Linked DNA regions of Caenorhabditis elegans. The protein of the gene in region 1 purifies or fractionates together with the protein of each later gene. This does not show direct contact. Each region holds a gene or a part of one and is shown in the gene's direction. Other genes may lie near its edges.

What was found.
Region 2: the proteins of gcsh-1 (region 1) and phy-2 fractionate together in Caenorhabditis elegans (co-fractionation; one large-scale study listed by BioGRID). This does not show direct contact.
Region 3: the proteins of gcsh-1 (region 1) and dpy-18 fractionate together in Caenorhabditis elegans (co-fractionation; one large-scale study listed by BioGRID). This does not show direct contact.

The regions. Positions count from the first base shown.
Region 1 is NC_003284.9:14,511,108-14,518,370, reverse strand, and holds gcsh-1 (Glycine cleavage system H protein), read left to right. Parts: upstream 1-3,297; 5' UTR 3,298-3,299; coding exon 3,300-3,446; intron 3,447-3,494; coding exon 3,495-3,587; intron 3,588-3,972; coding exon 3,973-4,179; 3' UTR 4,180-4,241; downstream 4,242-7,263. Other genes in the region: D1025.10 (SCD domain-containing protein), read right to left, coding at 1-38, 701-767, 817-960, 1,415-1,492; fbxa-141 (DUF38 domain-containing protein), read left to right, coding at 5,461-5,540, 5,842-6,526, 6,574-6,701, 6,891-7,065.
Region 2 is NC_003282.8:12,208,163-12,219,419, reverse strand, and holds phy-2 (Prolyl 4-hydroxylase subunit alpha-2), read left to right. Parts: upstream 1-3,432; 5' UTR 3,433-3,433; coding exon 3,434-3,511; intron 3,512-3,556; coding exon 3,557-3,642; intron 3,643-4,230; coding exon 4,231-4,648; intron 4,649-4,946; coding exon 4,947-5,168; intron 5,169-5,210; coding exon 5,211-5,453; intron 5,454-5,739; exon of another isoform or gene 5,740-5,760; intron 5,761-5,989; coding exon 5,990-6,060; intron 6,061-6,165; coding exon 6,166-6,265; intron 6,266-6,826; coding exon 6,827-6,880; intron 6,881-7,117; coding exon 7,118-7,183; intron 7,184-7,880; coding exon 7,881-7,979; intron 7,980-8,025; coding exon 8,026-8,208; 3' UTR 8,209-8,323; downstream 8,324-11,257. Other genes in the region: F35G2.3 (uncharacterized protein), read right to left, coding at 8,683-8,832, 8,879-9,163, 9,626-9,712; marb-1 (Isochorismatase domain-containing protein 1), read left to right, coding at 10,413-10,492, 10,550-10,727, 10,779-11,120. UniProt on the Caenorhabditis elegans protein: Catalyzes the post-translational formation of 4-hydroxyproline in -Xaa-Pro-Gly- sequences in collagens and other proteins.
Region 3 is NC_003281.10:11,370,897-11,382,360, reverse strand, and holds dpy-18 (Prolyl 4-hydroxylase subunit alpha-1), read left to right. Parts: upstream 1-4,380; 5' UTR 4,381-4,381; coding exon 4,382-4,645; intron 4,646-6,223; coding exon 6,224-6,446; intron 6,447-6,491; coding exon 6,492-6,619; intron 6,620-7,306; coding exon 7,307-7,391; intron 7,392-7,455; coding exon 7,456-8,102; intron 8,103-8,835; coding exon 8,836-9,000; intron 9,001-9,148; coding exon 9,149-9,316; 3' UTR 9,317-9,475; downstream 9,476-11,464. Other genes in the region: subs-4 (Glycosyltransferase family 92 protein), read right to left, coding at 42-80; tba-7 (Tubulin alpha chain), read left to right, coding at 10,586-10,802, 11,041-11,342, 11,396-11,464. UniProt on the Caenorhabditis elegans protein: Catalyzes the post-translational formation of 4-hydroxyproline in -Xaa-Pro-Gly- sequences in collagens and other proteins.

The DNA.
Region 1 (7,263 bases):
TTCGCCTTCTTCTTCTTCTTCCACTTCTTGGTTGATTTCTGCAACAAAAGCATGAAATACATTTTTTTTTTCAGAATTGTTTAATAGTTTCAAGAACTTTGATAAACTTATTGGCAAATCACAGTACACTTTTAATATTTAATTTTTGATTCTGACTTGTTATGGTTTTTTCTAAATCAGAGACCGTCTTTATGACCCAGAAAATGCACAACTATATAAGTCTTCCACGAGGGCGGTACTCTCGCCTGCACCACACCACGCCCCACACGCTCCACACCATAGCTTCGCTGACATTTTTCGTAGTCACGCAGCTATAGCGACGCGCGGACCTGCGCAGCGTCGGCCGCAGTACACAGAGCGGTTTCGGGCGGACGTGGTGTACACTATTCACGCCCCGCCTTCGTGGAAGGCCTATGTAAAATAATTTTAAAAACGCGGAAATAGTTGAGTTCGGGGAAACCTGATGTAAAAAACTCAAAATAATCCGAATTGAGCCACATTAAATTCACAGTTTTTGAGTTTTATACTCGCATTTTTTCTAACTCAACCATTTTTTTTTTGTTTTTTCTTTGTTATGCATTATCAGGAAAAAGGAAAATTTTAGATTAAAATCCCCACAAGTGGCATTTCAAAAATTTCAATAAATTTTCATTGTTAGAGAAATATGTTTCCTTCCAACAATTTTTTGTCAAGTGCTCACCTTCCATCACATCAGCCATTGACTCATCAGAGCTCACATCAATTACTTCCGGAGTAGGAGTATCTTCCTGAAATGGTCAAAGTTACAAAAAAAATCATTTTCAGGCTACTTCTTACATCGTCAGTTAGTTCTTCATCCATGTCTGACCTCCAATTTGAACGAGAATTATTTGGCGTACTGGGCTCACGCTCAGGTACTTCTGGCTCCTTCATTTTGCTTTGTGAGCTGAAGCTGCTGGTTTGTGCGCTGTCGAGTTTCACCTAAAAGTTGTTGTTTTTATTGGAAAGATTGGTGGGGCACGGGTGGCTAAGTGGTAGTGGTGTAGCACTGTCACTCAAGAGGTCGCAAGTTCAATCCCACCTCACCCCAAAAGCTCACCCAGCTTCGGAAAGTGGGTAGTGAATTTGTTTCACGAAAGGTAAATCGGCCATACCGCTTGTCCTGGTGCGGCTTAAATTTAGACTAGAAGCGATATAAACGCTACCAGTAACCCTAACAAATCTCTTCTCCGTAGGAGATTTTGCCTTACCTTTGAAACAAACGAACAACCTTTACCTTTACCTTAAGTGTATTTTTCTCAAAAACAACAAGTTTTGCAAATGCAAAATATTTTCATAAACAGTTTTTGATATATCTATACATATCATCATATCTAATATTCAAACTGATACCATCCGAAAGAAATTTCCTATAACTTTTCAAACAAATACTCACTTTTTTCGCCATTTCCAAACTTTCGTCGTCACCACTTACTTGCGGCTCCATTTGGTCCAGTCCTCGCTTCTTGCTCATGATGGCTGTAATTGACGCCCTGCAAATCAAAATGTTGAAGGTTTTCTTATGGATAATCAGAGAAACAAGATTAAAGAACAAAATGCAAACAATAGTGAAACATTTGCAAAAAGAAAAAAATCAATAGAGGTAAGAAGAATGTCAAATGAGAACCGATAAGAGATAGGCATATTGACAGACAGATTGTCCAAATGAGGGATGATTGAAAATTGATTCTCTTTTCAATTAGTTTGAATTATTTTGGTCGATAAGTGCAAATAGTTGAGCATTGCAGAGCTGATAAGAGCTCTGAGAAAGCAGCTTAAAAGTTTTAACCATTTTTTTCCAAATTTTCAAATCTTAATAATTCCAAAAGCTCAAATCAATACTCGCTCTCATAGATGTCAGAAAGCAGAGCATAATTCTAGAACAAAAGGCGAGAGATAAACAGAGCAAAGAAGAAAACGCATGCGATTGTTTCCATGGCACTACGAGGACGTCATGAGAGTGGGAAGATTGAATTTGGTTGGCCTAGTCAAAAGCTTCAATTTCTTCTATAAAATTTTTAGGGATGAAGAATAAAAAAATAAAATAAAAACAAGAAAAAACCGTATAAAAAACAAAAATCCAATGGGAGAATGCAAGAAAGATGGAAGATAAGATGCAGACTGACAAAGAGAAATAGTGCAGAAATGTGTAATGTGGTGGAAGACTATCGATTAGATTTGGACGAAGAAAAAGGGAGCTGGGAGCGGATTAGTGAGAACTAATCCCGTTTGGATTTCATGACATTGACTTGCTCTTTTAGTTCTCTGCTTCTAAAAACGAGTAAAGGATTAAGATATGGGAATCAATTTTTCAAAGATGGTTGGAGCCAAATTTAATTAATTATTTTGAAAAAGAACATAGTTGCAGAACTGGTAGTGGGATAATCGTTTAGCATCACGCTAATGATTCCAAAAAATTAAATATTCAAGTTTTTATATTATTTTTTAGACTTTGAAATTATTTTTCCTAAGACTGAAATACAACAAAAAGTCGCGTTTTTTTTTTCGGAAGAATGAAAACATTTTGGGGTACAGCTGCAACGTATTATCAAAAAAATACGATCGCAAATTTTTCTCATAATTTATTTTTGATCTACCTTGTAGACAAGGCTCCTGCCCTTCCTTCGATGAGATAGCCACAACAAAAATAACAAGGGGCGCTACTCTTGCCCGTCCGCCTCACACCACGCCTCACGCTCCCGCCGCCATCGCCCTTCTCTGTTGCACACAGCTATAGTGGCGCGAGGTACCGCGTAGCGTCGGCAGCATAGGGGATGTATATGGTCCTGCGGTGGACTTGCTTGTGAGTTCACATTTCTTCCACATTTCACCACAGGCAAATTACCTGATTACTCATTTTCGAAAAGTCAATTTTTGCACAAATTGGCAATTCGTCGAAAAACCGCTAAAAAATTTTAGACCAAACAATAATTTTTGAAAACTTTCCATTTTTGTTACTGCGATTGCCCTACAACGTCGAGACATGAAAACAACAAAATGTTAACATATTCTATAAAACTTTTTGGTTTTTTGCACTCAGGTCGCCCCATCTTATTTCTAATCGCCGAAAAAAGTACAACAATCACGCCTCAATCATCTTATCTCATTTGTAGTTCTTCTCTTGTTTTATTATCTTTTTGCAAGGACTGTCTTCGCGTTGCCATTTTATTCAACTGCAACAGAGTGCAGCGTTGTCATTGAACCTAGACAAATACTTAATTTTCGATAGCATCTTTTCAGTTTTAAAATGTTTTTATTGATTTTTTTTTTCAATTTAAGAAATGAGTTTCCTGAGCCGCTTCATCCCAACAGTAACTGCACGCACCGCTATTCGATTTGCATCTAATGGAAGGCTCTACACTAAAAAACACGAATGGATCGTGGTAAATCAATCTGTTGGAACCGTCGGAATCACTGATTTTGCTACGGTTTGTCCTTAATTTTTAAAGTTAAAAAATAAGAGCCCTGTTGTTCAGGAACAGCTGGGAGATGTGGTATTTATTGAGCTCCCGGAGGCTGGTGTGGAAATTGAGAAGGGAGATTCTACAGGAGCGGTGGAGAGTGTCAAGGTAAGACTTAAAAATTGTTTCCTCCTAAAATAAAATTATATGAAAAAATATGAAAAGTCCACCTATTTTTTGCGTGCTCCTTATATAATTCAAGGTTTTAAAAATTGGAAATCATTGACGTATACACATTCAATAATAGGTATCTTACTATGCAATTATGATTCGCGAAGCTCGGAAAAACAAAAATGACTAATTAACGTATGAAATCTCCACTAGTCATTTGGTTGACTCATTAACTTCTTTTTGATATATGAAGTTTATCTGACATGAATAATCATCAGTCTAGATATAGCTGAAGTAAGAATGTACTTTTGTTAATTAGAAAAATATTTCATTATTTTCATTACTTACTATGTCTACCTCTAACATAAGCCTTTACTTCCAGGCAGCTTCTGACATTTACGCTCCAGTGAGTGGGAAGATTTTGGAAAAAAATACGAAACTTGAAGATGAGCCGGGAATTATCAACAAAAGCCCACTGGAGAAGGGTTGGCTTTACAGACTTGAAATTACCAGCAACGAACAGCTCAACGAACTATTAACTGAGGAGCAATATAACAAGTTCAAGAGTGAAGAAGAGGCCGAGCACTAAATTGTTTTTTGTTGAAAGTTTTGACCTATTTTTTTGATACAGGTGTCACATAGGCAACTAATACATTTTTTTTTTTTTTAATTCTTATCACAGCATGTATTCAGTTCGCACTGGAAATGCAGTCTGCAGCAACGATAAGGTTTTGCGACAGCGACAGGTAGCAAAGATTTAGTTGGTTTTTTTTTCCAAAAAAATACATGTCGTCAATTCAAACTTAAAGCTATTCAACCAAAAAACGGAAAATTGTTTCGGCAATAATGAAAAACTTACGGGTTTCAAGTCATTTATCGATTTTCCGGCCAGGAATGTCTGCAATCTGTTTCAGCCCAATTCTTCGACTTTATATTTGCTGCTGTATTAGATCTAGTTGGAAATAATTGTCAAGTGAAGTAATATTTAGTGTTATCTTAACGTTTTTAGAGCCTCTTTTCTTAAAAAATTGGAAAAATGGGCCTAAATTATGCAAAATCTCTGCAACATCCACACATGTTAGTCCCGATGTGTGCAAACACAGTGACGCTCTTTTGCGTCCATCCCAGCACATTTCACGACTAATTGACCAAATCTATTGATTATCTATAGAATGTGCTTAAAAAAACAAGGAACTATCTTTTTTCCAGATAATATTTAGAAAAAATAAAGAAACAGTCGCCAAGAAAATTGTAGCAAAACATTCAGGAATTGTGTAGCTAAAGAACAAACTTATAAAAACTTAACTATTGAATTTTACAAATAATTTAGGTTTCGAATATTGAAAGAAACATACATAGATTCAAAGAAAATTTGTATACTTTTTGATTAAACTAAAAGCATCTTTGACGTATTATACGGCACTTAATAAATAGTGATATGTCTCTCTCTTTTTATATAAATTCTAACAATATTTTATTTCTCGAGTTTGTCAATAAAATTCGCAGGTCATTCATTGTTTATTTAAAAAAAAACAATATCTGGTTGCATTTCGCCATTAAACGTACATAGAATAACACTTTTTTTCACAAATTCAATAGTTTTTGTTGAAGTTTCAATTTTTCTGAACTTTTGATATTTGATTTTGAAACTTGTCAACGTTTTATTGCAGTCTTATCGTCATGTTTGTGCATAATTGGAAACGCCTATTTAAACAAATTCTCTATGGAAAATGTGTTCAAACGTAAATTCTAAACTAGGTGCATCGATTTGTTCTCAAAAGGTCTATTGTTTCATTTTTCTAGTTTCTTGCTTTGTTGATGTTGTATTATATTTTTTGTGAAAATTTGAAGTTTCAAATAAATTTTTCAGATGACGTCACATTCTGCGTGGCACAATCTTCCCCTGCAATTTAGAAAAGGTGTTATTGAAATTTTGGATTATAAGACCAGGTAATGATTTCCTTGCGCATATCAATGTTTTATTCTTGATGAGTTAAGTTTTTTTAATAGCTTAATAAAAATGTTTAACGTCAGCCATTTAATATTACAATGAAAGTTGATAAATCAAAAAGATAAATAAATATAATAACTGATTTCTATTTACAATAATTAAACTTTTTTCACACGTAAAATTTATATTTCCTAAGCCTAACTATCTGAATTTGAAAATACTCCTGACGTTTTTATCTAAAACTTGAAAATATGGGGTTATAATACGCAAGGACCTAAATATATGTATAAAAAATTTCAGATGTCAACTACGGAAATGCTCACGGAAAGATAAGAACCTTGTAGACATTGTTCCTATTCGAAGCAAATGGCTGTCAATGTCAGTTTATAATCGTTCGATCACTTTGCAATTGGAACGCATGAAGATTGAATATTTCAATTTTGACCCAAAAGAGAATAACATTTTACGGACTGAATATACGGAGAAAGCTGGTGAATATCCTGTCAAAAAGGAAATAGATAGAATTGTGCATGGTGATTTGGATCTGGTTGTTATGGATATTCTTCTACTCCTTGCCCATGAAAACTCTTTTCTCGACAATTTAGTTCTGCAATACGCTGAAGGAATCAATCCTGAAAGAATGCAACTTTTGAATCAAACATTGTTTAGTCAAATTAAGACTCTTGATCCCAAATGGAAAATCAGAACATCAAGTTTTTATATCAGTTTTGTCACGACCGGAGAGAAAATATTGGAGTACATTGGACTCCTAAGTTTTGAACATCTGAATCATATCAGAATAAAAAATACGAATTTCAACCAAGAACAGTTGGAACAATTCGTTGCTATGGACCAATGGAAGCATGCAAAGTCGATGTTCTTAGAGGATCTCAATGATATTTCAGTGGCTCAGTTCTCTCACTTTGAAACATTCTGGACAAATGTAACAAGATTGGAACCAGTTGATGCCTGGAATGTAATAAAGGTAAATCATGTGCAAATATTTTTACTAGTTAATAGTGTTTATTTCAGAGTTACATCAAACGGAATTCACCTCGCGGAGCATTTTTCCATGTAGGAACTGCAAATCCAATCGAGCCAAGTCAGATATCAGATCTGTTCGACGTGGAAGTGAAAAATGAGCCAATTGATACTCCTTGGTAAGTAGTTTTACTGAAACTTGCTTGAATCTACATAGAATTTTTAATATCATTCAGATTGGTTTACGGTTTTTTTTTCTTTCAAAAGAAAATGCACTAAGTTTCAAGCATAAAAATATTCCCTAAATTCAGTGTTTTCTGAAAAAATCGCTCTCCGATCAAAATCCAACGTAATTTATTTATTTGCAGGCCATCATCCCAAGTGTTGCACACCCAAAAGTTCTGTCTGCCATCTGAAGACCACGTGCTCATTGTGCTTATTCTAAACAATGTGCTCACCGGAAGAATATGTCATCTAAACCATCTAGCCGAAGATTGTAATCAATTGTATAACGACTATTTTGAAGAATATTCTCAGCAATGAGCATTTTATTTTTCTGAATAATTTTGATTAACTAATAAAGTTAACTTCAACAATAAAATATGTTTGTGCAAACTTCTAATTGGAATTCAACGTTAATATATTCTACGCAATCATGTTCGTAAGAAACTTCATACAATTTTAGATCAATGAATCAAAAATGACAATATAAGCGTGAGATCAATTTCAAGGCATTTTGTT
Region 2 (11,257 bases), on another chromosome or scaffold:
GAATAAAAGTTTTCAAAATAAATAAATAATTTTTCGACAGCACTTATTTTCGGGACTGTGAAATCATTTAATTTTTGCTCACAATCAGAGGAAGGCACAAAAATATTAGTTTTTCTCAAGACCTTTGCCTGCCTCGCGCCTACAAGCTTGCCTAAATCTTCTGGCAAGCACAAAGGCGTTACGATGTACCTGAAAACTTCACACTTATTCGGTTGTGCTGCCTTCCTTTTTTATTACTTTCTGTCTATAGTTTTCATCTTTATTTTACCTACATCTACTTCCTCTTGGCACTTCCCTTTTTCTGTCCTCTCCTCAATTTCTCATGTTTCACAACGAAACAAAATTCATTAGATTTGGATGCCTTTCTGCCCATCAAGCGAGAAAGAAAACCTGTTTAGCTGACCAGTTCCGTTTTTTTTAGATTTCTTTTGCCAATTCTATCATATCAATATGCTGATGAAGGAAATTGAAAAAGTAATTCAAATCTCTCCTGTTTTGGAAAATGGTTGGTACTTTAGCTGCCTACCTGAAAGGTTAAGATTGGGCTAGGCGCGTAGGTATAGGCTGCCTCATTGGCAGGCAGTACCAACTACGTAGGTTTGCCTAAGTCTAGATCTAAATCATTTTGAAGACTATTAAATGTTAGACTTCTTCCTATTTATTTTGTTCGCCCTGTTTTCAACGATGGAAAAATGAATTTCCAATATTTTTAATTTCAGAAACCGTATCAGTTGTAAAACAATTAATAGTTTTCTTCCGGTAATACCGGTCTCTGTCTCCTTTTCCAAATATCCTTTCATCCATCACATCCTCAGAAAGTTTTTCAATCCGCTTCTCCTCCTCCCAGTTGCCTAGTGCTTCTGGTCTTTCTCTTTCACCATCTGGCACCCGCTGATCGAGTGGTGGCGTCTCCTCATCCTCTTTCTTATTCACAAACATTACTACCAAACTGCAGCATCACAGTCACGTAGGCATCGGAATATGCACGTCGACTGCGCATCTGACACGTAGAAGTTGGAAATAAAGGAGGAAGAGAGAGACTGTGCGACAGGGTGTAAACCGTCTCGGCTTCTTCTCACGTCTGCGCCCCCATCTTATATAAAGATCTACACACTTCAGCGGCTTCGCGCCTTTTCAGCTTCCGTTTTTGGTTTTTCAGTCCGAAAAGTTGCCTTTTTTTAAGTCAAAAAGTGGCAAATCGCCAGTTATTCCTATATATATTTTCAGAAGATATCCAAAAATGTTTATTCAACAAATTTCTAACTATTCTTACACAGCTTTTATTGCATTCAAATGTCACAGTGATTTGAAAATGCAACATTTCTTCAATATTTCCAAATGTGTCGAAATTTTTATTTTAGAAATTTGGAAGTTTTCAATTGACTCATTTAATATTAGGTTAGGAAGTGTACCAAACCAAAACTTTGACTGAAACCTTTCAAAAATCGTAGAGGTGATTCAGAAAAGTTTTTAATTGTTTTATTGTGATTTTCGGTGATGTTGGACCATTACAAGTAAATTTATGCTTTTGCTAGCACACTGAAATTGTCAGGAAATTTACCGAAATTCATTTAACATTTATTTAATTTTTTCAAGACCTGAATTATCGTTTTGGAAGTGGAGCAACAAACTCCGTCTAAATCAAGATTAACTTTTGTTTTAATCAATTTAATAAATTTAATAAATAGCAAAGATCTATGAAAATATATCAAAGCTTTAGACTATAGTCTATAGCTGAAAACGCTGAAAATCAAGTTTTATCTGATTCTTTTTTTTTTCAAATTCTATGATTATTAAAGAATTTCATCATAATTTTTCTACTTTTAGCTTTTTATCTGACTTTGCAATACATGTATTGGTTAAGAAAACTCAAAACTTTGAATTCCCCCTAATTAATTTAATTAAATTGAAAACTAATTAATACCCAATTTCCTCATCAATCTCCAATTATCCTCACCTTCCCATTTTCATTCTTTTCATTTCCACGTCATCCATAAATCTTGCGCGATTCAACCTAGTTATTGGTATTGTTAATGGAGGTCAATCATCCACTGGATCGAGAAGACACCGTCCGTTCCTACGTGCAAAATCTAATTGAGAGATCGGAAACGCAGGCAATCAGGAAGTTTCTTCTTCTTCGAGAATCGCGCGACGCGGCGAAAAGACTTCCACATCACCTTAGACGGTCTGATTGCTTTTCTCTGTTTTTTTTAGCGAATCCGCTATTAATCTTGACATATATTCCAAAGTTTGAAGGTTTTATATTCTTTAGGAATGTGTACATTCTGTATTTTTAGTTAAAATCAAACTTGAAAATGTAAAAATTAAAAATCGAATGTCAGTGTATCATTTAACTTTTTTAGTCCAGGTTTTGAAATTTATAGTTCTAAAAATTCTAAGAAACCTCATTTTATCTGAAATCATCATGCTGTAAACAAGGGTTATCAATCTGTCTTGCTGTTGAAAATAATATTATTTATTCGCATTTTATCTAGTATATTTTTACCATTTTCTATTCTCTATTAACCATATTTACAGAATTTTAATAAGGCATAACCAAGTGAAATGTTTCCAAAAATCAGATGACCATACAGTTTTGGAACACTATGAACCTAAAAATTGAATAATTTTTTTAAAGTTTTGTATAAAAAGCTTGAAACGCATTTTGAACACATACATTTTCCACAAAAAAATACTGAGTTCATCTATATCTCTGTAGTGGTAATCTATAAAAGATTGAGATCTAAGGTGACCTCAGATATCCTTTTATATTTATTTGGTCTTTGAGGCACTAATCAAAACTGGAAGAGATAGTTTTTTGCGGTTTCATCTAGATTTATTCCTTCATATTTTAGAACTCTTGGAATTAAATTATTCTGAAAAAAAAAACCATTTTTTGAAGCTCCAGAGATAAGGAAAAAAGGATCACACAATAAATCACGTAGGCCTTTATGTAGGTACATACTTGTCTACCTGCCTACAAGGCGACGGACGTGCCTACTGGCAAAATGGGAATGAACTTTTCCCATATAGACAGGCGGTGTCTGGCCTAACTCTATCCTGCCTCCAGACAAGGTTGACAGGTGAATGCTAAACTCTATTATTCTTTGTCTATTCTTCTTTTTCATAAATATATTCATATAAATGTGTCACACAATGCAACTTTTGTTTATAAACTTCAACATCCGTTCCACGTACACCTCCCTCTTCATCATCATCCCCCCTCAAATTGTAAAAATATACAAAAAGTGCTGGTGCAGACGGCTGCTCTCTACACTTCTCATCTGCTGTGTTCATCTTTTTCTCGTAGTCTCTCACTCTCTCGCCACCGATTTTGACCTCGAACATGTCAGTTGTGCACTGATTTTGACCCCCTATTTCTCACGTTCTACAGCTTTTCAAATTTCGGAAACAAATCGATTTGTCTTTCAGAATGAGAGCAGTTTTGCTAGTCTGCCTTTTGGCAGGACTTGCTCATGCAGATTTGTTCACTGCAATTGCTGATTTGCAGGTGAGTAGTTAATCTATGATTATGTAATTAAGTTAGAGATTTCAGCATATGCTGGGAGCAGAGAAGGATGTAACAACAATCATCGACCAATATATCGAAGCAGAGAGAGCCAGGCTGGATGACTTGAGGAGGTGAGTACTGTAGAACTGCAAAATTGAGTAGGTTCCAGGGATAGAATGCCGTTTAGTAACCGAATTGTAGATTATAACAAAATTTCCAATTCTCAGAATCTAGAATTAAAATTTTCTGATTTTCATGTGTTGGGAGAAAATAAAGTTATGTTTCTTCAACAGATGAAAACATTTGCTACAGTAAAAATTAGTTTTTTGCTGATTGTTGAGTTTTTGATTCAAAATTGATTGAACTCCATATTTATCAAATGTCCCCTCTGGTAGGTTCGAAATATAGGTTTTTTTTTAAATTTTTGATAAAAAGTCTTCCACGTGGGCACATCTTACGCCTGTCTATTGCCTACACGATTACCGATTGACAAAGTACACAAAATCTATTGAACTTTTAACAAGTTATTTTTGATTAGACAGTCCGCAAGGGCCACCAAAACGCCACAAAAAATTCTTAAATTTCTAAATTGTACACACACCAAGAATAAAAATGTTCGCCAATACCAAGAAATACGTGATATCATGAAAGTCTCACTTTAACAAAAACTAAACATTTTCGGACATCAAGGTGACTCAAATAAACAAATCATTTTACAGATACGCTCACGAATACGTGCACCGAAACGCTCACGCCGAATCAGTTGGTCCAGAATTTGTGACGAACCCAATCAATGCTTATCTTCTCATCAAAAGATTAACAACCGAATGGAAGAAAGTCGAAAATATAATGTTGAATAACAAAGCTTCAACTTTCCTCAAGAACATCACTGATAACCGAGTTCGTAGTGAGGTCAAATTCCCAGGAGAAGAGGATTTGAGTGGAGCAGCAACTGCTCTTCTGAGACTCCAGGATACTTACAGTCTTGATACTCTTGATTTGTCAAATGGTATTATTGGAGGAGAAAAGGTTTCTAATAAGCTTTCTGGACATGATACTTTTGAAGTTGGAAGATCTGCATATAACCAGAAGGATTATTATCATTGCTTGATGTGGATGCAGGTTGCGTTGGTTAAGGTAAGCCTGGTTTAGAAAATACGGCTTTCAAGCCGAACCTAAAACCAAAAAATATGAGCACTTAAACGCGTAGGCAGGCACGCAGGAAGCGAAAAGCATTTTCAACTCCATTTATTCGTATAAAAAGTAAGTTTTTTGCTGCTTGAGATTTGTAATTATGCACCACTACGAGAACTATCATATTAACGGTGGTTTCTTTGTACTTACTCAATTTTTTGATTGATGATCTATCGTACCTTAAGCTGGACTTTTTCCATAGCAAAATTCCAACAACAAATCCTAATCAAACATTTTCCAGATCGAAAACGAGAACCCACCAACAATTGAGGAATGGGAAATTCTCGAGTATCTTGCATATTCTCTTTACCAACAAGGAAATGTTCGTCGTGCACTTTCTCTCACCAAACGACTCGCAAAAATTGCTCCAAATCACCCGAGAGCCAAAGGAAATGTGAAATGGTATGAGGACATGCTTCAAGGAAAGGATATGGTTGGAGATTTGCCACCAATTGTTAACAAGGTTTTTTGCTTAGTATTTTATAATTTAAATTTTTGTTTGCAGAGAGTTGAGTACGATGGAATTGTTGAGAGAGATGCATATGAAGCTTTGTGTCGGGGAGAGATTCCACCAGTTGAGCCAAAATGGAAGAACAAGCTGAGATGTTATCTGAAGAGAGACAAGCCATTCCTGAAGCTTGCTCCAATCAAGGTCGAGATTCTTAGATTCGATCCATTGGCTGTTCTTTTCAAGAATGTCATTCATGATTCTGAAATCGAGGTTATCAAGGAGTTGGCTTCTCCAAAGGTGCGAAAATTAGATTATTCGATAGTTAAGTTAGAAATAAAGTACGGTGAATGGGGATTTTGTTTTAAAATACAAAAAGAAACTGAAATTCCAAAATACCACCAAAATATGGCAAAAATCGAGAAATTGCTAGATTTCAAATGTGACTAATATTTTCATTCGAATTCCAAACATCATCCAAAATGAGAACCCCCTTGAAAAATAATGTTGTTCAAATATCGATTTTTGTGTGGTATTTCTGAAATTCTGACTATTTTGGGTATTTTAGTACAATCTTCCCACTCACGCAACTATACCTTTCAGTACAATACTGAAACTAGAAATTGTATAATTTTAAGCTAGAACGTGCTACAGTAAAGGATTCTGATGGTAGCCTGGTTACTGTAGACTATCGAATTGCCAAGAGGTGAAAGGTATTAAACGTTTAACTGTACAGTAACATGCTGTGAACTTAGAAAATTAGATATTTGACTTACTGATTTCTTTTTCAACTTCTATTCTTTCTCCTTTGTTGCCTGAAGTGTGTTATTTTTTAGCTGAAGCGAGCAACTGTCCAAAATTCGAAAACTGGCGAGCTGGAACATGCCACGTACCGTATCTCAAAAAGGTTTGTGCTTAAGTTTTTTGGAACGGTTTTGTTTGATTTATTTTGAGTTGAAAGATTAACTAAATCAAGTTGATTATCAAATTTCTTGAATCAAAAATGTTTCAGTGCTTGGTTGAAGGGAGATTTGGATCCAGTTATTGATAGAGTCAACAGAAGAATTGAAGATTTCACCAATTTGAACCAGGCTACTTCAGAGGAGCTTCAGGTAAGCAAGAGCCCTGCAACATGGCTAAGGCCTTTAAGAAGGCACATAAATGCCTGCGTACCTGCCTCATGCCTTTATGATAGGCGTTAGATAGGCAGGCAGGCAGGTACGTGCTTGCCGACTTTGTGTTGAAACGGAAATGCGCACTATAGTTATATATTTTCCTTGTGAAATCCTCTCGGGCAATGAATTTACATTATTTTTTCGAAAGTTGCCAGTTTCTCGTAATTTTGAGAAAATGTAAAATGGGGATTAAATTATTTCATAGACTTTCTTGATAAACTTTTAATTTTCAAAGACAAAACTCGAAGAATTCTTGAAATTCTAAAAATCGAAAAATCGTTTAAAATTTCCATTTTTAGATATTTTCGTTTTTTTACAAAAAATTGAAAATTCCTTGTGTCCATTTTTGAGTTTTCTAGGCTAGTCACATCAGCAAAAAGGTCTAAAATGCCTTCAATGCCTACAGCCTAGAATATAGGCATTAGAGGATTCCCCAAGTTTTACTAAAAATATTAATTAAAGTTTATAATATTTTCAACAAAATTGTTGCTGTTTCAGGTAGCTAACTACGGTCTTGGAGGTCACTACGACCCACATTTCGACTTTGCCCGGGTAATAACAATTTTCAATTCTTTTTTATAATTTCAGATTGCAAATTACGGTCTCGGTGGTCACTATGAACCACATTACGACATGTCACTGGTTGGTTTACTGCCTTCCTGCTGACTTGTCTTGCTGCTAATTTTCAGAGAAAAACTGCCGAATCGTACGGTGGAAATGGTAATCGTATTGCCACTGTGTTATTCTATGTGAGTTTTCGATTCAATTTTAATTTTCCGTATTTTATAGAAAGAAGAGAAGAATGCATTCAAGACGCTCAATACTGGAAACCGAATTGCGACTGTTTTATTCTATGTGAGACATGTTTCATTTATAATTAATGGTTAATAAGATTCCATCACGAACTTTTTATTTGCATGAAAATTCTTTAGCTGTTATTGCATGAGGTGTGCTAATCCAAAAGTATGTGATGGAATCTTAACGTTTGAACTTTTAAATTTGTGATTTTAGCGCGTGGGAGCTGTGAGAAAACGGAAAATTTTTAAGGGGTCTTAAAATTTTACTGTTGATATTTAAAAATGAGGTTTTATAGTTTTTTGGCTCTATCGAACAATTTTTATTATTTAATCTAATAATTATCTTCTTTTTATGATTGTTTAGCTGAAACTGATGTATTTTCTAATGCCTACTTCTGGAAATTCGATAAATTCGAAACTGAAAATAACAATATCAAAATTTACTTTAAACTCAAAGAGCAAAAATCGTTCAAAATATAGTCAAACATTCACTCTCAAGATTTTGATTTTTTTGAAATTTTCAAACTTATTGGGTTCATAATTTTTACAAATAAATAGATGAAAAAATAGTAATATTTGAAAAGTTTACAAACTGATGTTTATATCCTTTTGGTACTGACCTAAATTACGAGAAAAGTGTGTGTGACGTCACATTTTACAGACGCGAAAACCCGACAGTTACTGTAGATCAAACACATTGTCAGATAACTAGAACGAACCCTCTGTTTCTCCTTGAACCAAACAATTTTTTTCAGATGAGTCAACCAGAACGCGGAGGAGCAACCGTCTTCAATCATCTTGGAACTGCTGTATTCCCATCGAAAAATGATGCTCTCTTCTGGTATAATCTTAGAGTAAGTGTTCATTTCTATTTTTCCTCGCAATTTGGAAATATTTCAGAGAGATGGAGAAGGAGATCTTCGTACCCGTCATGCTGCTTGTCCAGTTCTTCTAGGAGTTAAATGGGTCTCAAATAAATGGATTCACGAGAAAGGACAAGAATTCACAAGACCATGTGGATTGGAGGAGGAAGTTCAGGAGAACTTTATTGGAGATTTGTCCCCATATGCCAATGATCCATAGATTTGATTTTTTACTCTCTTTTTTGTTTTTTTTTTTAATTTCATTGTTGCTTACTGGTGTTTCACGGTTCCAATATTTTATTTGATCGCCAAAAAATGAAAGTGTTCTGGTTTTAAAGAATGAGTTTTTGATATTCTGAAATCTAAATTCAAAGCTGTTTATGCCTGCTTCATGCCTGCCTACATCAAACCTACATCAAACCAAGATTATAGTCATGTCTACTTCATGACTATAATCTTGCCTATCTATGTTCCTACCTATTCAAAATATAGTCCAACATTTAAAAATCCTGTGAAAAAATCACGGTTGTGGCTTGGATTAAAAATGATTCGATTCAAATCAGCATAAATATCTCCCTACGTGCCTGCCTGCCAACAACTCTAACAAACATGTAATTGTACCTGATACATACAGTTTTTCCTTGCCATACTTTATTAAGTTAATCAAAAATTATTTCAAAATTATATGGACAAATTAAATATTATTAACTTTAAAAAGACTTTTAATTTTATTATTTTCCTTATTTTCTTCTTCACTTCCTTGCAACGCACTCTTTAAGTCATTCTGGAAATTTGTTTTGTTGAACTCGATCTCGAATTTAAGCAGTTCAATCATTTCGTTTTTCTGAAATTATAGTTTTAAAATTTAATTCCATGTAAGAAATCCGAACCTCTTTAATAATCTTTCTGGCTTGTACCAAATCATCAACCAACTCATTTGCATCTTCCTCCGCAAATTCCAATGATTCCAGTTTTTGGCTCAATTCCTTTATCACCTCGTTTCGCTCTTTCAGTTTTCTCTGAAGTCCACCAATTTTTGCCACAAAATCTCTTTGATGCATTCGAATTTTGATTAAATGATTGCTGATTTTACTTCTCTCTATTTTCATCTCCTTCTGGTGCTCTTTAATCATTTCCTCACTAGACTCGCACATTAATTTTAGTTGGTAATGAGCCTGCAAACGTTGTATATAAAAAAGAATGTCAAGATGCCTGCCTACATGCCTGCCTACCACCTAGCTCTATACATTTTGGCATGCATTCAGGAATTTAGTGAACCTCTAGAAAGTAAAACTGGGAAAATTTCCAAAGAAAATTTAGTTAATTTTCACCAAATTTTCGAAAGTTTTTTTTTTTAAAGTCAAACATTTTCCAATAAAATATTTCGCATTTTTTTCAAAAAAAACACATTTTCCCAAAAAAAATTCGATCCGTTCTACTGTCTATTTTAAAATTTAATAAATCTTCTCAGCTTTAAACACCTCTTAATTTTTTATGAGGGGCTCCAATAAATAGCTTGAGGGGAACACGATTATTGGAATTTACTTTTGAAATTGAGAAATTTTCAGACTCTCGAGAATTTCATTGATAATGCTAATAAAATATTCAAAAATATAAAAAAAAACAACAAAATTTACCTTTGCCTTTTCCTCAACTATTTGCAACATTAACAGAGCTACAGTAACCGCGTACAGTAACCCGAATAGAATCGGGAAATTATCCATTGAAAGTGTCATATTCCCGTCTTGAAAGATATTAGTTAACCACGACATTATAAAATAAAAAGATTGTCTTATAAGATAAGTAACAAACGAATGAATGAGCCGGTCGTCTTAGTCAACGGGTCAAGTGTTTCAGCCGCGTTCGTGAATCAATAAGAGCTGGAATTGCCTCCTGGCATTAGTGACTGTAGTCCACACTTTCTACTGCCTAAATTATCCATACAGGGCAATGTGATCAATTGATCAATAGGTTATTAAATATAACTATTTTATGCAGTGCAGTGTTTCATCCTTTTGGGAAAATTCACGGAATCAACAGGTGAATTTATGTTTTTTAGGGTGTGAACACAAATTGTTAATGTTATAATTGTCCTGGAGAGCCTTTAAACATTTTACAATTAATATATTATAAATAATACGTAGAAAATCAGTATTTGAACAGGAAAGTAGACATTTTAAAAATTTGAAATTTGAAAAACCGCCACAAACTCAAGCAACGACACTCCGAGATTACGAATCGCGCGTTGTTTACCGTAAATTTACACTAATTTTTGTTCTCTGAAATTTTTTTTTAATTGAAAAGCCGTCCATTTATTTATCTTTTTTTGTCAAATCCTTGTGTTTTACGTGGATGTTTGCATTTGTTTTTTATTTATTTAATTTCGAATCACTCAACTTTTTATTGATTTCTGTTCCTCAGGTGATGGCTGCGCGTAAGCTGATCGCACGTATCAACCCAACGAACAGTGCTCTTTTCGTCTGTGATCTTCAAGAGAAGTTCGCGTAAGTTTTGAAAGAAACTAGTTTATGAGCAAAAATAATTTATTTAATTATTTTCAGGTCAAATATCAAATACTTCCCAGAAATCATTACAACTTCGCGTAGATTGATCGATGCTGCCAGAATCCTGAGTATTCCAACCATTGTTACTGAACAATATCCAAAGGGTCTCGGACACACAGTTCCAACTCTCAAAGAAGGTCTCGCCGAGAATACTCCGATCTTTGATAAGACGAAAGTAGATTTTCAGATTTTTGTTCATAATTCAGTCTTATTCCAAAAATTTCAGTTTTCCATGTGCATTCCTCCAACTGAAGACACTTTGAAGAAAGTTCAAAATGTGATCCTTGTCGGAATCGAAGCACACGTATGCGTTCTTCAAACTACATACGATCTTTTGGAACGTGGCTTGAACGTTCATGTCGTGGTGGACGCTGTCAGCAGCCGCAGTCACACTGATCGTCATTTCGCTTTCAAACAGATGGAACAAGCTGGAGCTATCTTGACAACTTCTGAAGCTACCATTCTCGGACTTGTCGGTGGATCGGATCATCCAAAGTTCAAGGAAGTTCAGAAGTTGATCCTTACTTCAGCCCCTGATACTGGCCTCGTCCCGTTGTCGAAGCTCTAAATGTTTTCCGTTTACGGCTTCTTTTTTTGCCATGTAGATTTGTGTTTAGTACCTCACTATGTGTAATTACAGCATTTAACCGGTTTTCGTCCCATAAATTATGGTGGTAATTTGAGTCTTTTTGCAAAACGTTTCTT
Region 3 (11,464 bases), on another chromosome or scaffold:
CCCCAGATTTTTCCTCGCAAAAAAAACCCCCAAAAACTCACCCAATCTCCAATGGTGCTTGCTCTCTGATTACTGCACATTCTAACTTTTCTTTGCAAAATTGACAGTGTCCGTAACACTGTTCTTTTCATTTTATTCTAAATTATCGATCAACACTTTAAAAATTTAAAAATTTAAAAATTATAACAAAAAAAATCGAAGAATCCAGCGTGATGAGGAAACGCAAAGCTTGCGGGGGTGTGGAGAGTTTGTATTCGGAAAAGAGGTCGGAGATATGTATCTGGTCCGATTTAGACGTACTTCCCCGAGACAACACAGACATTCATAGTGATGATCCAAATAAAAGATTGGAACTGTTGGGGGGAAAGGATGGTGGGGGCTACAACCGACACAAGACAATTTGGGATTACAATCAGAAGCTACAAATTCGTTGAATTTCAATTGAAAAAATTGGTTTGAATTTGACAAACTGTTCAGAAGATTAAGCTGTCTATGAATATTTATGTTAAAATAATTTTTAATTCCGTGCCAAAATCTGAAAACTATTTTTAAATTACTCCCCTGGTTTCGATATTTTTTGAATAAAACTTGGTTTACAAGCGTTTTACTGAAAATTTGCCATTTCATGTGCTATAATATTCGTGCTGAAAAAGGTTGAAAAAATTTTTTAATTCAGAAAAAATGAAACAAATTTAATTTTTTAGACGTGTGTCTTAATTAGTACACTTGTGAGTTTATTTACCTCAATTCGCAATGTTACCCAAGATGGCCACATTTTTCAAATTTCGTATGGGCCTCTGCGACAAAAGTGTTTTTATTTTGGGTTTTCAGTTTTCAGTGCAGATGTCACACTCACCAAGTATCTCCGCCGAGTTCAACTCCAAAATTTTTTTTTTGTAAATTCGGCAAGGTATATGCCTGTGAAAAATGAATTGGAAACAAAAACCCCTCTAGCGCGGCCAAAATACAACTTGTAGCTCCAGAAACTTATACATAATCTTTAAAAAAATCTAGAACCCAAATCTATGAAAACATTTCCAAAGTTCCAAAAATTTTTTTTTTGTAAATTCGGCAAGGTATATGCCTGTGAAAAATGAATTGGAAACAAAAACCCCTCTAGCGCGGCCAAAATACAACTTGTAGCTCCAGAAACTTATACATAATCTTTAAAAAAAATCTAGAATCCAAAACTATGAAAATTCTCCCAAAATTTTAAAATTTTTGTGCCACCCTTTTTTCGCAAGTACCTGTTGAAATTGAAATTCGACGGAAAAACCCTTCTAGCGCGGCTGAAACCGAATTTCCAGGTCCAGAAATGAACCCATATTTTTTTTTTGAATTCCTTATCGAATTTCATATCAACTCTAGCAAAATGGCACATTTTTTGTTGTCGGTTTTTTGTACAGTTATAGGTTTCGTAAAAAATAGTCTTCCCGGCAACCAATTCCCAAATATGATATCTCCTTTAAAATCCTTCAATCTCTTCTCTTTTTTGTGTTATTATTATCTATTGGTCTTGACCCTTCTTCTTCTTCTATTCTTCATCTTCCCGTCACAACTTCCAACGTGTCTTCCTCCTCAGCAGCTGTCTCTGCGGTTTCTCAATTCTCTGTACTATTTCTAGAGGGTCTGCTGGCCGTTTCGTCAGGAGGAGGTGGTGGCCTTACTCACTCAATCTGTCCCACTGACCCTTTCTTTTATTCTTCTTTCCCTCCCTACGTTTCTTGCAGTTTTGCAGTTTTTACTGATTGTCAATATTTGGGAGTTTGAATACTTTGTGAGATTTGGGGAAATTTCCAATTTTCAGCGATTTGGTAACTTTGAAATTAGATATAGTTCTGAAATTGCCGTGATTTCTCAATTTTAAAGCGGATTTTTTTTGATTTCTAATAAATATGAATTTAAGTAAATTTTCAGCTTTTTATAGTTTTAGAAAATTCAAAAAAATAGCCAGTTTCAGTTTGGCAACTTCATTTAAAAAGTGTTTGCCATTTTGGTAAATATGCAAGTTTGGCAATTTTTCCTATTTTCTACATTTTTTAAAATTTCATTCCGACAGTTTTGATAGGTGTTTAAATATTTTTGAAATCGCTCAGTTTATTTTTTCAAATTTCAAAAATTTATAATTTCGGTAACTTAGAAATTTTTTCGCCGATTTTTTCAGTTTTATAATTATATAATTTTGGCAACTAGTAAGTTTCGGGGAAAAATGAATTTTGCCAGTTTTTCAGCTATACAGAATTTTGGCAATTTTGAAATTTTTCTGATATTTTCCAATTTTGGCAATTTTTGTGTTTGCCTAGTTTTTCATATTTTAATTACTCACAATTTTGGCAACGACCTTTTTTTTGAAAAATTTGCACTTTAGCGAATTTTTGGCTCTCCTAAGTTTCAGCAAATTTTAAAATTTCCAAATGTATCATATTCGGCAATTTTGACAACAATTTTTGATGATTTGGGCAATTTTACAAATTTCTTTTTTTTTTTTGAGACATTGGCCATATTGGAACGTTGAAAAACTATTAAAAAAACTAGGCACATTTTCGGTTATTCCAAATTTCGAAAAATTAAAAAACTGCTAGCTTTTTCGGCAACCAGAACATTTCCAATTTTCAAAATTCCGGCAATTTGTTACGTTTGGAATGCCGATTTTTTTTGGGATTCCAGCAAATTTATTTAGGTGATCCGATAATTTTTCGTATACTTGGCAACTTCATTTTTTTTCCAAAAAAGGGAAAATGAGAAAATGAAATGTTTTTTTTGAGTCACGCAATTCCGGCTCCACTTGCTATTGTGCTTTTTTCTGTTAAAAACATGCATAACATCCAATTTTTTGGCGCCGGATTTTTTTTTGGAATTCGGAAGTTCACCAACTTGAATATTTTTCCCTATTTTTTTGGCAATTTTTTAAACAAATTCCGGCGATTCTAAAATAGCCCAGTACTTGACATTTCAAATTCAGTTGGAACTACCCAATTATTCCCAACCTGACACCTTTTGTCTTTTTCCTATTCAAACTTTGTGAACCTATATAATTATTTTTTTCCCGCCTGCGTCTCTCTTCCTCTCTGCAAATACTTACGATTCAATAGAATACGTGAATTTCCGAAGACCTTCGCGACGAATCTAGTTCACAGTCGTTTCTTTAGATTTTCCATGGATTTTGATTTATGAAACTTTAGAAGTATTGCAAATTTTTTTTAGGTCGAAAGCTTTTTCTATAAAAACAATATAGCAGCCGACACTTCACTGGGTTAACTTTACAGAAAATACCCGCGAGTTGTCGGCTGCTGTAACTCCCTTTGCAGCAATGATAGCAAGAGATTGGTAAATAGCAAATTGTAGAAAATAAAATTTACAACAATTTGTTAGTTGAAGACATTTTTCTATGTGTAATGCGAAACAAATTATGGCAGCCGACACTTCAATAGGTTTTAGAGCTAGCGAAAACCCCGTGAGACTTCGGCTGCTACAAGTTTTTCAGTTAGACATTCAAAAGTTGTAACTCACAATTTTTTGCGTCTTGCGGGTTTTAACTGAAAAACTGGAAACGGTTCAGAATTCAAAAAAAAAATGTTTTTCGGTTGATGCTTCTAAAACGTTTTTCGTGATAAAAATTGAAAAAAAGCGAATTCAAAAATTAACTTTTAGCAGCCGACATTTTATGGGCTTGAGTTATATTTCTCTAACCCTAAACACCAAAGAACCTATATATCTCACACTTTCACTATCATCAAGTCAACGTCAGTTTTACTCATTTCTGCGTCTCGTTTTCTTATTTCTTTCGCATCTAATTGTTGTAAGTCTACGTGGAGAAACCAGCCTTATATAGCTGAACCAACTTCCTCTTTTGCAATTTTTTCCTTTCTTTGTGTTTTATGCCAGAACTTTGAAATCACAAAAGTTATTGTTAATTTAATATTTAAGCTACCTGAAATTTCCTATATTTGGTCAATTAACAATTTTTTAGCAGCTAGTTCAAGAAGTAAGTTAAAGCAGACGACATCTAGCGGGTCAGAATTTTGGAAGCTGTGAGATGTCGGCCGCTATATGCTTCTTGAGGAAAACTGGTGTGGTAGCCGACACCTTGCGGGATTTGATCCCCGGGGTTTCCGGATCTGTAAGATGTAGGCTGCCACAACTTTTTTAAACTGACAAAGTTAAGAAATCAAAATTTCCTTTTTTCCGGTAAGCACTGTCTTTTGGCTATTTTAGGCAGCCGACATCTTGCGGGTCTTGCTCAGTTTTGATTTTTTTTTTTCGAACCCATGAGATGTCCGCCGCTATAATTTTCTCTGGCGTTTGTGTCAAATCTTTATTGTAAACTTTATCCGCTTCCCGTTTTGCAGGTTTTTAATTCCCTAACTCTCAATTTTTCAGAATGCGCCTGGCACTCCTTGTACTAGCCACAATCGGCTATGCAGTTGCCGATCTGTTCACCTCGATTGCCGACATGCAAAACCTTCTGGAAACTGAAAGAAATATTCCGAAAATCCTTGACAAATACATTCACGACGAGGAAGAGCGACTGGTTCAGCTGAAGAAGCTGTCGGAGGAGTACTCGAAGAAAAATGAGATTTCGATTGAAAATGGGCTCAAGGATATTACGAATCCGATCAATGCGTTTTTATTGATCAAGAGAAAGGTAATTTTGTTTGCAATAGGTTTTAAGTTATTGCAGCCGACATCTCACTGGCCGTTTTTTCAGCCCGTAAGGCGTCGGCTGCTATGACTTGTTTTTAACGCTAGAAAAAAGTAGTCAACTATGATAGCAAAGTATAGGAAATTTCATTTACTTAATTTTGTTAGTTGACGATTTTTCACTCAGTCCCGTAGTTTTACTGTTATTACAGCCGCCATCTTACTGGCTGCACTTTTTAGAAATCCGTGAGATGCCGGCTGCTATAACTTTTTTCCCATACATTTTAGAAAAAAGTTGTCAACTGACAAAATATAGAAAATTTCATTTACTTAAATTTGTTAGTTGACAATTTTTCACTCAGACCCGTAGTTTTCCAGTTATTGCACCCGACATCTCACTGGCCGTTTTTTTTCAGCCCGTAAGGCGTCGGCTGCTATGACTTGTTTTTAACGCTAGAAAAAAGTAGTCAACTATGATAGCAAAGTATAGGAAATTTCATTTACTTAATTTTGTTAGTTGACGATTTTTCACTCAGTCCCGTAGTTTTACTGTTATTACAGCCGCCATCTTACTGGCTGCACTTTTTAGAAATCCGTGAGATGCCGGCTGCTATAACTTTTTTCCCATACATTTTAGAAAAAAGTTGTCAACTGACAAAATATAGAAAATTTCATTTACTTAAATTTGTTAGTTGACAATTTTTCACTCAGACCCGTAGTTTTCCAGTTATTGCACCCGACATCTCACTGGCCGTTTTTTTTCAGCCCGTAAGGCGTCGGCTGCTATGACTTGTTTTTAACGCTAGAAAAAAGTAGTCAACTATGATAGCAAAGTATAGGAAATTTCATTTACTTAATTTTGTTAGTTGACGATTTTTCACTCAGTCCCGTAGTTTTACTGTTATTACAGCCGCCATCTTACTGGCTGCACTTTTTAGAAATCCGTGAGATGCCGGCTGCTATAACTTTTTTCCCATACATTTTAGAAAAAAGTTGTCAACTGACAAAATATAGAAAATTTCATTTACTTAAATTTGTTAGTTGACAATTTTTCACTCAGACCCGTAGTTTTCCAGTTATTGCACCCGACATCTCACTGGCCGTTTTTTTCAGCCCGTAAGGCGTCGGCTGCTATAACTCTTTCAAATGCGTTTTAGAAAAAAGTTGTCAACTGACAAAATGTTGGTAATTGACAACTGTTTTACCAGTTCAAAGTTAAAAAAGTTAGAGCAGCCGACATCTCCCAGGCCACGTTTTTTGAAAACCCGAACATATCGGCTGCCTTAATTTTTCTCTAATTTTTATTAGAGAACGTTGTTGACTAAGTAATAGTAAGTTTAGTTGAAATCTTTTCAAAATTTTGGCTGCTCCCAACTATTGGTAAAGCCTCCAGTTTCTGTGTTATTGCAGCTGACATCTCACTGGCCGCACTTTTTTTGAAAATCCGTGAGATGTCGGATGCTATAACTGTCATAACTTTTTTCTCAAACGCTCCAGTTACAGAAAATTTTCTACAACTTTACAGTTTACAACTTTTGTCTATCTCAATTTCTAAATGGCCTATAACCCCACAAATCTTCAGATCTTTGACTGGAAGGAGATCGAGTCGAAAATGAACGCAAATAAGGCTGGAAACGTGGTCTCTTCAATCACAGATGACAGTTATGGAGTACGGTACCCAACAGCCGATGACTTGAGTGGAGCAGCTATTGGGCTCCTCCGTCTTCAAGACACTTACCGCCTCGACACCAAGGATCTTGCCGATGGAAAGATTTACGCGGATCAGGGAAATTACACATTTTCCGGTAAGCTTAAAGTAATACAAACTTTAAGTTTATCTTTAATTTTAGCAAAGGACTGTTTTGAAATTGCCCGTGCTGCTTACAATGAGCACGACTTCTACCACACTGTGATGTGGATGGAGGAGGCGCAGAGAAGACTCGGCGACGAGGTGGAGCCAACTGTGGAGGTGGAAGATGTGAGTTATCTTGGCTGGAGAGGAAGATAGAAAAATATTTACAACTAGTGAATTGTGCAGAATTAAATTTACATTATTTTTTAGTTTATAACTTTTTTATAGCTTGTTTCTTAGTGGAGTTATAAAGAGTTTTAGCAAAAAAATTTGAATTTTAAAATAAAGCACGCATATCTCTGCAATGAAAGATTTTATCAAAAGGTTGTCAATTGTTAAAATGTGTAAAATAAAATTTTCTACAATTTGTTAATTAACAACTTTTTGCTAAACTTGCGTCGAAGCAAGTTATGGCAGCCGACACCTTGCGGGTCCAGAAGCAATCCAAAACCGGAAGATGTCGGCTGCAACATAACTTTAATCCTAGTTTAGCTGCGGGAGAGATGTTAACTAATAAAGTGTAAAACAACTTTTTTTAATTGCTTTGAAGCAAGTTATGGCAGCCGACGCTTTACGGGGCAATCTGTCGGCTGCTGTAGACTTCGAAGGCGGATAACTCTGCGGGTATTGAATTTATCAAAAAGTTTTCAACTAACAAATTATAAAAAAATTAAGTTTTAGATACTTTAATAGTTGAAATATTTTTGATATCTTTAATAGCGGCGGAGAAACAAGCGTAAATCGCCAAAAAGCTATGAGAAAGTAGCCGAAATTTTAAATGCAACTTTTTTCACCAAAAAATTTAATTTCCAGATTCTCGAATACCTGGCGTTTGCACTGTACAAGCAGAACAACTTGAAGCACGCTCTAAAGCTTACAGAGGAGCTCTACAAAATGAGTAAGTTTTTGAGACCGCGAGATGTCGGCTGCTACTCAGCTATTGTAAAATCTAAATCTTCCAGACCCAACTCACCCACGCGCCAAAGGAAATGTCAAATGGTACGAGGACCTTCTCGAGCAAGAAGGCGTCCGTAGAAGTGACATGCGCAAGAACCTCCCACCAATCCAAAACCGCCGTCCCGACTCTGTCCTAGGAAACACTGAACGAACAATGTACGAGGCTCTGTGCAGAAATGAGGTTCCAGTGTCCCAGAAGGACATCTCCCGTCTCTACTGCTACTACAAGCGGGACCGTCCGTTCCTTGTCTACGCTCCGATTAAGGTGGAAATTAAGAGATTCAACCCACTAGCCGTGCTCTTCAAGGACGTGATCTCCGACGATGAGGTGGCCGCGATTCAGGAGCTCGCGAAGCCAAAACTCGCAAGAGCCACAGTCCACGACTCGGTGACCGGAAAGCTTGTCACAGCGACTTACCGTATCTCTAAAAGCGCGTGGCTTAAGGAGTGGGAGGGTGATGTTGTGGAGACCGTTAACAAGCGAATCGGATATATGACAAATTTGGAGATGGAGACCGCTGAGGAGCTGCAGATTGCGAATTATGGAATCGGAGGACATTATGACCCGCATTTCGATCATGCCAAGAAGGAGGAGTCGAAGAGTTTTGAGAGCTTGGGAACTGGAAATCGTATTGCCACTGTGTTGTTCTATGTGAGTTATATTAAAATGCAAAAACCCGTCAAGTGTCGGCTGCCAGCTAACAGCCCGCAAAGTGTCAGCTGTTGCCTTATAACTCGCAAAACGTCGGCTGCTAATTAGATGCCAGTATTTTGTCGGCTACCATATAGTCCCGGCAAAGTGTCAGCTGCTAGGTAGATCGCTGAACTTGTCCGGCACTAGCGCACGCGACAGCGAGGGATCCATTTTTGCCGGCTGCTAACTAACCCCGCAAAGTGTCAGCTGCTAGCTAACGACCCGCGCAGTGTCGGCATCTAGGAGCCTGTAGCTTGTTGGTTGCCACTCAGAACCCGCGAAGTGTTGACTGCTAGCTAACAACCCGCAAAGTGTCGGCTGTTATCTAAATCCACAAAGTGTCTGATGCTAGCTAACAAGCCGCTTAGTGTTGGCTGCTAGCTAACAAAACGCAAAGTGTCTGCTGCTAGCTAACAACCCGCAAAGTGTCAGCTGCTAGCTAACGACCCGCGCAGTGTCGGCATCTAGGAGCCTGTAGCTTGTTGGTTGCCACTCAGAACCCGCGAAGTGTTGACTGCTAGCTAACAACCCGCAAAGTGTCGGCTGTTATCTAAACCCACAAAGTGTCTGATGCTAGCTAACAAGCCGCTTAGTGTTGGCTGCTAGCTAACAAAACGCAAAGTGTCTGCTGCTAGCTAACAACCCGCAAAGTGTCGGCTGCCGACTCAAAATCAACCTATTATTGTTTCAGATGAGCCAACCATCTCACGGAGGAGGTACCGTCTTCACTGAGGCCAAGTCTACAATTCTGCCCACCAAGAATGATGCTCTCTTCTGGTATAACTTGTACAAACAAGGAGACGGAAACCCAGACACCCGTCACGCCGCCTGTCCCGTTCTTGTCGGAATCAAATGGGTTAGTTTTTTGTTTCTGGTGGGAGCCCGCGAAATGTCGGTCGCTTCTTATATCGGTATTTGCGTACTTTCGCAGCTACAGTAACCCACAAAAACACCTCTAGGACCACAATTTCATGAGGAATTCGAATTTTAACTTGTTTTTCCAGGTATCCAACAAATGGATCCACGAGAAGGGCAACGAGTTCCGTCGTCCATGCGGCTTGAAATCCTCAGACTACGAAAGATTCGTCGGCGACCTCGGATACGGCCCAGAGCCAAGAAATGCTCCAAACGTGTCCCCAAATCTTGCCAAAGACGTCTGGGAGACCCTCTAAGCATTGGTTTTCATTGTTTTCTGTTTTTTTTCTTTGTGCCGCATAATTTATCCCCACACACTACCGGGTGGTTTCTTACATGTTTTCTCTTTTTTCTCTTGTTGCCTTCGATGAAGTTGTCTGCCTTTTTCTTTGCCGTGAATAAATTATTTTTTACTTTTTAATTATGTTATTTGAAAGCAGCCGACAATTCCCTAGTGGATCCTGTGAAGTGATGGCTGCAAGCCTGTAAAGCGTCGTATGCAGAATAGAAACCTGTAAGAGGTCGGCTGCAAACCTATTAAGTGTCGGCTGCTGAGTAAAACCCCGTATAGCGTCGGCTGCAAAATAAAAAACCGTAAGAGGTCGGCTGCCAACCTTTTAAGCGTCGGCTGCTGAGTGAGAGCATGTATCGTATCGGCTACAAAACTGTTTAGTGTCGGCTGCTAGATAGGAATCCGTAACGTGTCGGCTGTCAACCTATTAAGCGTCCGCTGCTGAATAAAAACCCTTGAGATGTCCGCTGCCAACCTGTTAAGTGTCGGCTGCTAGATAGCAACCCGTAAGGTGTCGGCTGCACACACACTGGATATTATTGATTTTCCGAAAACTTCCGAATTTTTCTTCTCCTGCTTACCTTTTTCCGTAGTTTTATCATTTTCTCATCATCACTTTTTCGCATTGACAGACCGCCAAAAACGTTTTATTATGTTTGTTTGCTCTTTTTCTTATCAGTGCTTAAATATTATGAAACATCTTTATATGAAACTCCTTTTTTTGGCATTCTCGTTTTCGAAAAAATTGAATTCCAACTCGTTTTAAGCAAAATTTTGAAATTTTGGCTTAGATTTTTTGGCAGCTTGTATCTTTGCATGAATGCTAGAATAATTTTGTCAACTGATAAATTGTAGAAAATTTCATTTGCTATATTTTGTTAGTTAACAATTTTTTAGTAACTGTTGTGGTTGGCAAGTTGCAACCGTGTAAAGTTGTAGTACATAAGCGTCACTGGTTATTTGCTACAAATGCTTGTATCTTTGTAGGAATGAGAGATATCAAAAAGTTGTCAACTAGGGAAATGTAGATAAGAAATTTTTCTACAAATTGTATGTTGCAATTTTTTTTTCTAGCTTTAAGGATTAGCGAGATATGTGCTTTCAAAAAGTTAAGGTTTAAAAAAATTTTATTTTGAAATTTTGAAATTTTGCAATTCCTATTGCGAAATTTCTGTTGATCGTTTAGTTTTTTTTTAACTTATAGTTAATCTAGTTTTTTACAGTACAGTGAACTATGAGAGAAGTAATCTCAATCCACGTGGGGCAGGCGGGAGTTCAAATCGGAAACGCTTGCTGGGAGCTTTACTGCTTGGAGCACGGAATTCTCCCAGATGGGACATCGATGGAGCCCGACGGGAACTCCGGCTCTCTGGGCACTTTTTTCTCGGACACTGGATACGGTAGACACGTGCCACGCTCGATTTTTGTGGATTTGGAGCCAACTGTTGTCGGTATGCAATTTTTCTTTACCCTTCATTCATGTAACCCCCACTCTTCAAGTATACACTTACTGAGCGCCGGCGGTGATGCACGCGTGGCCGAGTGGCAGTGTGTTTGCCTGCCACTCTGAAGGTCACTGGTTCAAAACCAATGAAGACACAAACCCATGTCCTGAAGATATCCGTGCTAGCATGATTAGTCTTTCCGAGGTTTTTTGTTGAAATTTTCCCCTAATTTTTCAATTTCCAGACGAAATCCGCACGGGAGCCTATAAAAAGTTGTTCCACCCAGAGCAAATGCTCACTGGCAAAGAGGACGCCGCAAATAACTACGCCCGTGGCCACTATACAGTGGGTAAAGAGATCATCGACACTACTCTGGACAGAATCAGAAGACTCGCGAATAACTGCGAAGGATTACAAGGATTCTTTGTGTTCCATTCATTTGGTGGAGGTACTGGCAGTGGATTTACCTCTATGCTTATGGAGAGACTCTCCGCGGAGTACGGCAAAAAGAGCAAGCTCGAATTTTCGATCTACCCGGCTCCACAGGTTAAACTATTTTAATTTAAAAATTGAATATCAATTTAAATTTTTTTTTTTAGATCTCCACCTCTGTCGTAGAGCCCTATAACTCAATTCTGACAACTCACACCACTTTGGAGCACTCAGAT